Daphnia pulex: one gene and its partner. Each later gene encodes a partner of the first gene's protein in a complex. Links are inferred from orthologs where the notes say so. Each region holds a gene or a part of one and is shown on either strand. Other genes may lie near its edges.

The links. The genes of interacting proteins can lie anywhere in the genome.
Region 2: bromodomain adjacent to zinc finger domain protein 1A-like (region 1) and chromatin accessibility complex protein 1-like share a complex: the UniProt entries of both Homo sapiens proteins name them as parts of the CHRAC ISWI chromatin remodeling complex. The link is inferred for Daphnia pulex from reciprocal best matches to the Homo sapiens genes BAZ1A and CHRAC1.

The regions. Positions count from the first base shown.
Region 1 is NC_060028.1:6,190,473-6,194,849, forward strand, and holds the start of bromodomain adjacent to zinc finger domain protein 1A-like, read right to left. Parts: upstream 2,894-4,377; 5' UTR 2,731-2,893; intron 2,406-2,730; 5' UTR 2,381-2,405; coding exon 2,268-2,380; intron 2,096-2,267; coding exon 1,957-2,095; intron 1,898-1,956; coding exon 1,562-1,897; intron 1,493-1,561; coding exon 1,379-1,492; intron 1,310-1,378; coding exon 987-1,309; intron 927-986; coding exon 800-926; intron 739-799; coding exon 376-738; intron 300-375; coding exon 1-299. Other genes in the region: carotenoid isomerooxygenase-like, read right to left, coding at 3,824-4,111, 4,175-4,377. UniProt on the Homo sapiens protein: Regulatory subunit of the ATP-dependent ACF-1 and ACF-5 ISWI chromatin remodeling complexes, which form ordered nucleosome arrays on chromatin and slide edge- and center-positioned histone octamers away from their original location on the DNA template to facilitate access to DNA during DNA-templated processes such as DNA replication, transcription, and repair.
Region 2 is NC_060025.1:6,928,252-6,930,769, reverse strand, and holds chromatin accessibility complex protein 1-like, read right to left. Parts: upstream 1,187-2,518; 5' UTR 1,071-1,186; coding exon 936-1,070; intron 859-935; coding exon 738-858; intron 677-737; coding exon 600-676; 3' UTR 501-599; downstream 1-500. Other genes in the region: metallo-beta-lactamase domain-containing protein 1-like, read right to left, coding at 64-193; mediator of RNA polymerase II transcription subunit 12-like, read left to right, coding at 1,566-1,655, 1,793-1,900, 1,986-2,177, 2,241-2,400, 2,464-2,518. UniProt on the Homo sapiens protein: Forms a complex with DNA polymerase epsilon subunit POLE3 and binds naked DNA, which is then incorporated into chromatin, aided by the nucleosome remodeling activity of ISWI/SNF2H and ACF1.

The DNA of each region.
Region 1 (4,377 bases):
TCGAGTATGTCTCTTATTGATGCATATGTGAGTATTTGATGACAAAGGCATTTGATAACTTTCATTTTATCACCGACGGGCAATTCGTATACCGTGCTGTGAGACAAGGCATGTAGAATATGAGGATCTTCCTGACGCAACTGAACACCAGGATCATCAGCAGCACTATATCCACCTCTTTGTTGATACCGCCACTTTGTACGAAGTTCACTACTACCGCCACCAGACGATATTAAGTGAAGTCGTAATATTTCTGATACGGTTAAGGAATCCATAGACAGCTTCTTAAGAGGAGTACCCTTCAAATAAAAATATGTATATTATAAAAACTTATAGGTTAAAGCCATCAAATGAAATAGTATGCGAGTCACCTACCTGGTAAGTTAATCCGCCTTCGACTTCTGACTCCTGAACACCACTTGTCGTACTTCCAGCTTCTTTAACTTCTTCAGATTCAGCGTCTTGAAATTCGAACAAAGAGCTAAGCAATGTTTGTAAAATATCGCTAAGAGGACCAGACACTTCGTTTTCTACGACGGCGCGTTCTAAGAGTTCAAAAGTAAGCCCTCCTGGAAAAGCATCTTTCAATTGTAATTCTTCGCCGAATCCCAAGAAGAACTCCAACACCATAACGAAGTCTCCAAAGATACCGTTAGGGATGGCACATTGAATAGGAGTGGGCGAAGGCAAATCTTTAAGATCGTCGCATTCTAAATCCTCACGGATTTTGCTCCATTCCTAAAATGGATTAAATTTGTTAAAATAAATTGCCTCTATTTATATTATGTTTCAACCATACTTTGACGTATTCAGCCATAACACGTTTTTCTTCTTTTTTCTTTTCTTTAGCCAGCAACTTCTCGTCGACCTTTTGTTGCTTTCGCTGATCAGCCATTTGCCTAAGAGTTTCGCGTTCTTCACGAATCCTATCATTGAAATTGACATTTTAGTATTAAAGAAACAGAACGAATAAAAATTTCAATTACTTTATGAATTCCTTCGCCAACGCTTCAGCATCTAACTTAGGACTTTTGGTGGCGGATTTTGCATTCCGAACTGCGTCCGGCTGCCCTCTTTTACTTGGGGTACCTTTTACCGGAGTGCCCTTCCCGTTGCTGTCTTTGTCATTGGATGGTGTTTTAGGTGTTCTGGGTGTTTTAGACGCTTTGGGCGTCTCACCTCCCTTACTAGTTGACAAGCTTTTATTGACTTTCTTTGGAGCTCGTTTTTCTTCAAACCTCGGCTTTTCGCCCGTAAAAAATTCAGAGTATTTGATAGAATCCATATTCAATTTGTTCCATGCTTCAGGCTAAGAAAAACAATTTTTAATGAGTGATTAAGATAATTTTCAATATTATCAATCGTAGTCTAAACTGACCTTAACAACCCAGATACCCTCGCATTCATCAAACTGCAAGCAGTATCGCAAGTACAACCGTACCCTTTCTCGAGAGTAAAAGCCTTTTTCTCTTCTAATGCAATCTACTGTGACCTAGAAATGAAAGCGTTGATAATTTAGACGCGCAATGGTATAAAGTTATCATATTAAAATCCGAAATACCGTGTGAATGGGACCAACAGATCCATCTTTGCTGTTGAATTCTTCTTTAACTTCATATTTAAATAATTCAGGTGGAGGCCCATATTGATCTAGCATCAATAGTTTATCCTCTGTGCTGAGCTCATCATCAAGTTCTTGTTTGTACTGTTCAAGTTCTTCAATAGTAGGAGGTACAACCCGTATTACTTGTGCAGGATACCACTTAGAGCGTAGAATTGCTTCCACATGTTCATTTTTGAAATAACGATCTTTCATAAAGTAATAAACATCATCACATGTTTCATTTACTTTTCCTCTGCATGTGAGGGAAGCAATGAGAAGTAGAGGTTGCCTCAACTAGTGATAAAGAAATGTTAATCAGTGATCTGAGATAAATACAAAAATTGAATGAGTACCTCTAATGGAATGTCACTAACAGACTGCAGTGCTCGTTTTTCACTTTCAATGGCTTCTTGGTAAGTCAAATTGCTTTTAGCTGTCAATGAACATGACCAAACCAAAGAATTGCAAAGAATGGTCCTCTCAAAAAATGCTCTGAAAGTAAACAAACACAGGGATGATGAAAAACAGCACAAACCGTCTGATAACATAGAATGCTATCAGTAGTAAAGTTGCATTAAAACGGTAACATATAAGATTCACAATATGCAAACATGCTTGACTGTGATCACTAACAAGCTTATGTTGGATAAAAGCAAATACATACTCATAGTCTCTGAAGATTTCATTAGTCACAGGGAAATAGAATATTTCCTCTTCTGGACGAATATCAAGTGGAGGTGGCTGAGGAACGAACGGTTGACGACGTAGAAGCGGCATGGCGTTTGATCATACACACTGTGCACTGAAGTTTAGAGGAACCAGTATAAGAGATGAGAACAGAATGCCAAAACAAATCTCAACAACAAATGTCAGTAAGACAAAATGATCATCTTTTGGTAACTTTTAATAAGAAATGTGAAGGAAAAGATCGACTAGTAATAGTCCCAGATGAATGACACAATCCTATACGAGAGACGATCTGATTACGACAGTGCGGGACACAAAGCCAACGTTACCGTTAGAAACGACCACCAAAACGAACCGGGAGAAAACAAGAGCCAAAAAGTCCCATCCAAAAAAGTCGGCTAGCTGGCGCTTTAAGTTTACGAGTTCTTGAATAAACTTACCTATTTAGCGTATTAGACTGTGGATAAAAATAATTTGTTTAGCAATTTGCAAGATTTTCCTTCTTGCATCGATGGTTATTTTTCTAAATCCTCGTGCATTCAGAATATACAAGAAGAGTACAAGAGCAGGCGACTTAACCCGCGAATCAGCGCCATAGGTTATTAAAAAACAAGTGAAACTCGGAGCGCGAGTCTTTGTTTGAATCACCCCTTAGTCGTATTCGGAGCGGCAAAAGGCGGCAAACCTACGAACTCAATAGGTTGGGTCGGATTTTGTTCGGTTCGGCTTGAAACGGAAAATTTTATTCATGGCTTCATGTAGTTTGCAGCAGTACTTTATATAATAGTCAAACACAGTAAAATCAAAGCACATTTTTTATCTCATCTATATATTTCATATTTAATTTCAATTTTTAAATGATTTCGATTGATTTATTAGAAATTTAAATCAATGAAAAAAAAAAAAAACTTTTTTCAACAAATTAAAATAATTTAATAGGTTGTTGCCAAACGGAACACTCGTACGAACAACCTAGATCCTGGATGTAACAAAAATAAATCGATACCCAAATATCGAAAATATACATAGCGGCCTTTATTGTATATGATGAGTTTTTATCATATGTGGTGAAAAATGAATCGTGCTTTTATTTGCCACTTTCTCAAAGCAATCAACTAAACGTTTGCAATCGACTCGTCTGAAATGTGGTTTAGGGAGAATTTTTGTTGGCAGTCTGAAAACGAAACACGTTTGCGTCCTGCGACATGTGCGGCATTGGTGATATCACAGACCCAGTTTACCTACTCGGAACACTAGGTAAACTGATTATTCAACAATTCACATTCACTTGTGGTATTCAAAAATCTTTACCAGAAGCGCTATTCACAATTAAAAAAAAAAAAAAAAATAAACTGCAGAACAAGTATTTAGATATTGTATTTGTATTTCTTTGTAATTTAAGTGGAATCAATAGTTACAAGCATTTTTTCTTTGGAATTTAAAAGCCCACAAAATTGAAATACCTTAGTTTGATTAGAGAGTACATAATTTGGGAGAAAAATTCCCTTGTGTTTAATAAGAGTTCATTTCATATCAGTAACCATGCAATGCATCGCCAGTTCGAGAGAAAAGGCCATGAAAATCTTTCGTCACCACTCCAGAAGCAACATACTCTACGACAGCTTCTTCTTCAAAGGTAGCTGCATTTAAAATCACGAGTAAAACTTTCTTAACATCAACTTGATGTACTGCAGAAAACAAGATAACTCCGTCATCTTCATCTGTCGATCCAGGGCGTGAAACGTAAACAGGTTCAGATGGACTGAATTCAGTTTTTGCCCATATTTTAACATCTCTGGAATTCACATCAAGTTTCAAGATCTGTGGAAATCAAAAGTAAAATATTTCAAATAACGGAGGGGGAATCTATGCTCGGAAAATTACCTTTTCTGATTCGGCGTAACCGTCCGTTTGCGAGATTCCATAAGCAAATCGATACTCTAATCCATTTCGAGAGTAATTTATTCGTGGAAGTTCCAAACTTAGATCTGACAAACGATCAGGTTCACAAAATATTATCTTGTCTGATATCCAGTAAGAAATGCATTTTGATCCTTCTAATTTTATTAAATTTTCACGTTTCTGAA
Region 2 (2,518 bases), on another chromosome or scaffold:
AAAAATAATTTATTAACTGTTATCACGTTATTGCGAACATATTTGGATTGTGCTGTTTGTTACTATTTTTACTGCCGGTAACCAATACGCATGAGCAATTTGCACGGACGAAAGGAAGATTTTCGTCTTTTTCCTCAATTGTGGTAGAAGAATATCCAGTATGTATTACTGTAACACGGTTGGAGTTCGCCATCCTTTTAGAAATTAGAGTAGCCCTTCTAGTGTCAAAATGTCAAAAATCAAAATCAAATGTTTTGTTTTTTTAGACTGCTTTTTTCGCCATCTATGGGTGACACGCTGAACTTTGCCATTTTGCTTATTGCAGCAGCTGTGGTTTGAAAATAACGTACGCTAAATTGAGGGAGAAAAAAATACGGACACACCCGTTTAGGCTAACAAATGGTCACATAAAACCGCAATTAATTAATTACAACAGTACATTAACTGCAGTCTATTGAACCACCAAACTATCTTAGTTGATGTGAATCGTAAAGGAACAATGGGTTCAATCAATGTATTTGAAATTGAACTTTCCTTAGTGGAACACTTATAAATATGAGCAAGTAATGTTGAAGACAGAAATGAATTTGAATAAACACTCAAAACAAGTCACCATTTCCTTTTTCCTTCAGAATTTCTTGATATTCCTTGTATGTTATTTTCTTAGGAACCATATCTGAAAACACAATAATAATAATAAATTAAAATTTTACTAATACCATTTAGTAACACAGTACCTTTGAGAAACTGCATAGAATCACTTTTTTGAACAATGTCAGCTAGACCTTTGTAAGTAAGCTCATTTGACTTTTTGGTACTTTCATAAATCTCTTGGGCTAAATGTTCTACAAAAAACTCCTTAAAACATTGAAACATTTTAGATGAAGATGAGAAAAATAAGATGAAAAAATTATCTGGAAACAAACTAAAAATACCGTTGCTTTTGTTACAAAGTATAATGCGTCAGTGGATATGCTCTCAGTATCTGGGGAACTCTTCATAATCATTTTTACTCGTGCTTGTGGTAATATTATGGAGCCGTCTCCTAATTTCGGTTTAAAGGAAGACATTCTTAATTTAATTTCACTTGATTTAGTCCTTCACTTCAATCAATTCAGCAATTCCGCGCCACTACAATTTCTAACAAAATGCCAAAATAGAAATGTTCAAAATATAGTCTGCTGACTTTTACAGCACTGCCAAGATGTGATCAATGAAAATTGAAAATGCAAGGAGCATATTTTGTCATTAATTTGTTCATAATAAATTGATACCAATTGTATTAATAACTATTTCTAAATTCAGTTGCTAGACTACGATTAGTCCAAAATTCAAATACATTCATCTCCAATTATTCTTTATGTGTGCCGTAACAGCAAATTATAGAAATGCAACGTTGTAGCAAAGCCATCACACTGATATATCTGTCTGAACCATGGTCTGAAAATCGGAACTCTTGATAAGAATTTAGAAGTATTTGATTACTTGTGTACTTGTGTTGTGTAAACATTGATGTGTGGTAACAAATTTATACTTCTGCGTGGAAATTGATTTTAGAGCTAGTTATGGCTTGTTTATCAATGGAAAATCGTCCTCTTAAAAAATTGAGATTAGGACCGCCCGATGTTTACCCACAGGATCCCAAACAAAAAGAGGTAATATTTTGAATGTAGCTGCAGCTTTTTTATGAGCCCAAGTACGAAAATGCTAGTTGCCAAAAGGCAGTTTCATTTAAAAAAAAGGATAATTCTTTATGTTTTCCTTTCATTAACATTTGGAATACTATTTTTAGGATGAACTGACTCCTGTCAATGTGAAACAAGGATTTTCTCATACACCCAATCTTAATCAGTCTGAAGAGTATGGATCTGCTAAAAATCACAACTTTTCTTTATCAAAGGTAAACTACAATTTACTGTAATTAGTATGATGTTCATAGATTGTTCTAGGCTGACAACCATTTTATTATTCTTTCCTAATGTTAGGTCCAAACTTTTATTAATGGAGTGCTTACAAAAAAACAAGAAATCAACACATTGCCTGATACTGGCCGAAAACGCCAACTCATCAATCCCAAAGAAAATTTCCATAATGTTACTCCAAAGTCCAAGGCATTCATTGAGTCTTGGTTCAAAGACTTAGCAGGCAGCAAACCTTTGATGAATCTAGGAAAAAGAGTAATATTATACTCAGAATATCTTAAACAAATAAAAATACCAACTTTTGATTCCTTTTACAAGGTGCCAATATTCAACAAGAAGGAAGAAATATTTATCCAACTAAGTGAATATCAGGTTCCTATGTCTAGAGCAATATGGTTAATCAAGATGACATCTGCGTATTCAGTGGCTATTTCTGAAGCCAAAATGAAAAAGCGTCAAGTTCCAGATTCCTCTCAAGGTAGTTTCCAAGATTTAAATAATTTATTTTATCTGCAATTATAATCATTTTTTTGTTATATAGAGTGGACTAGTACATTGGTCCGGTTCATAAAGGAACAAATTGTGAAACTACAAGA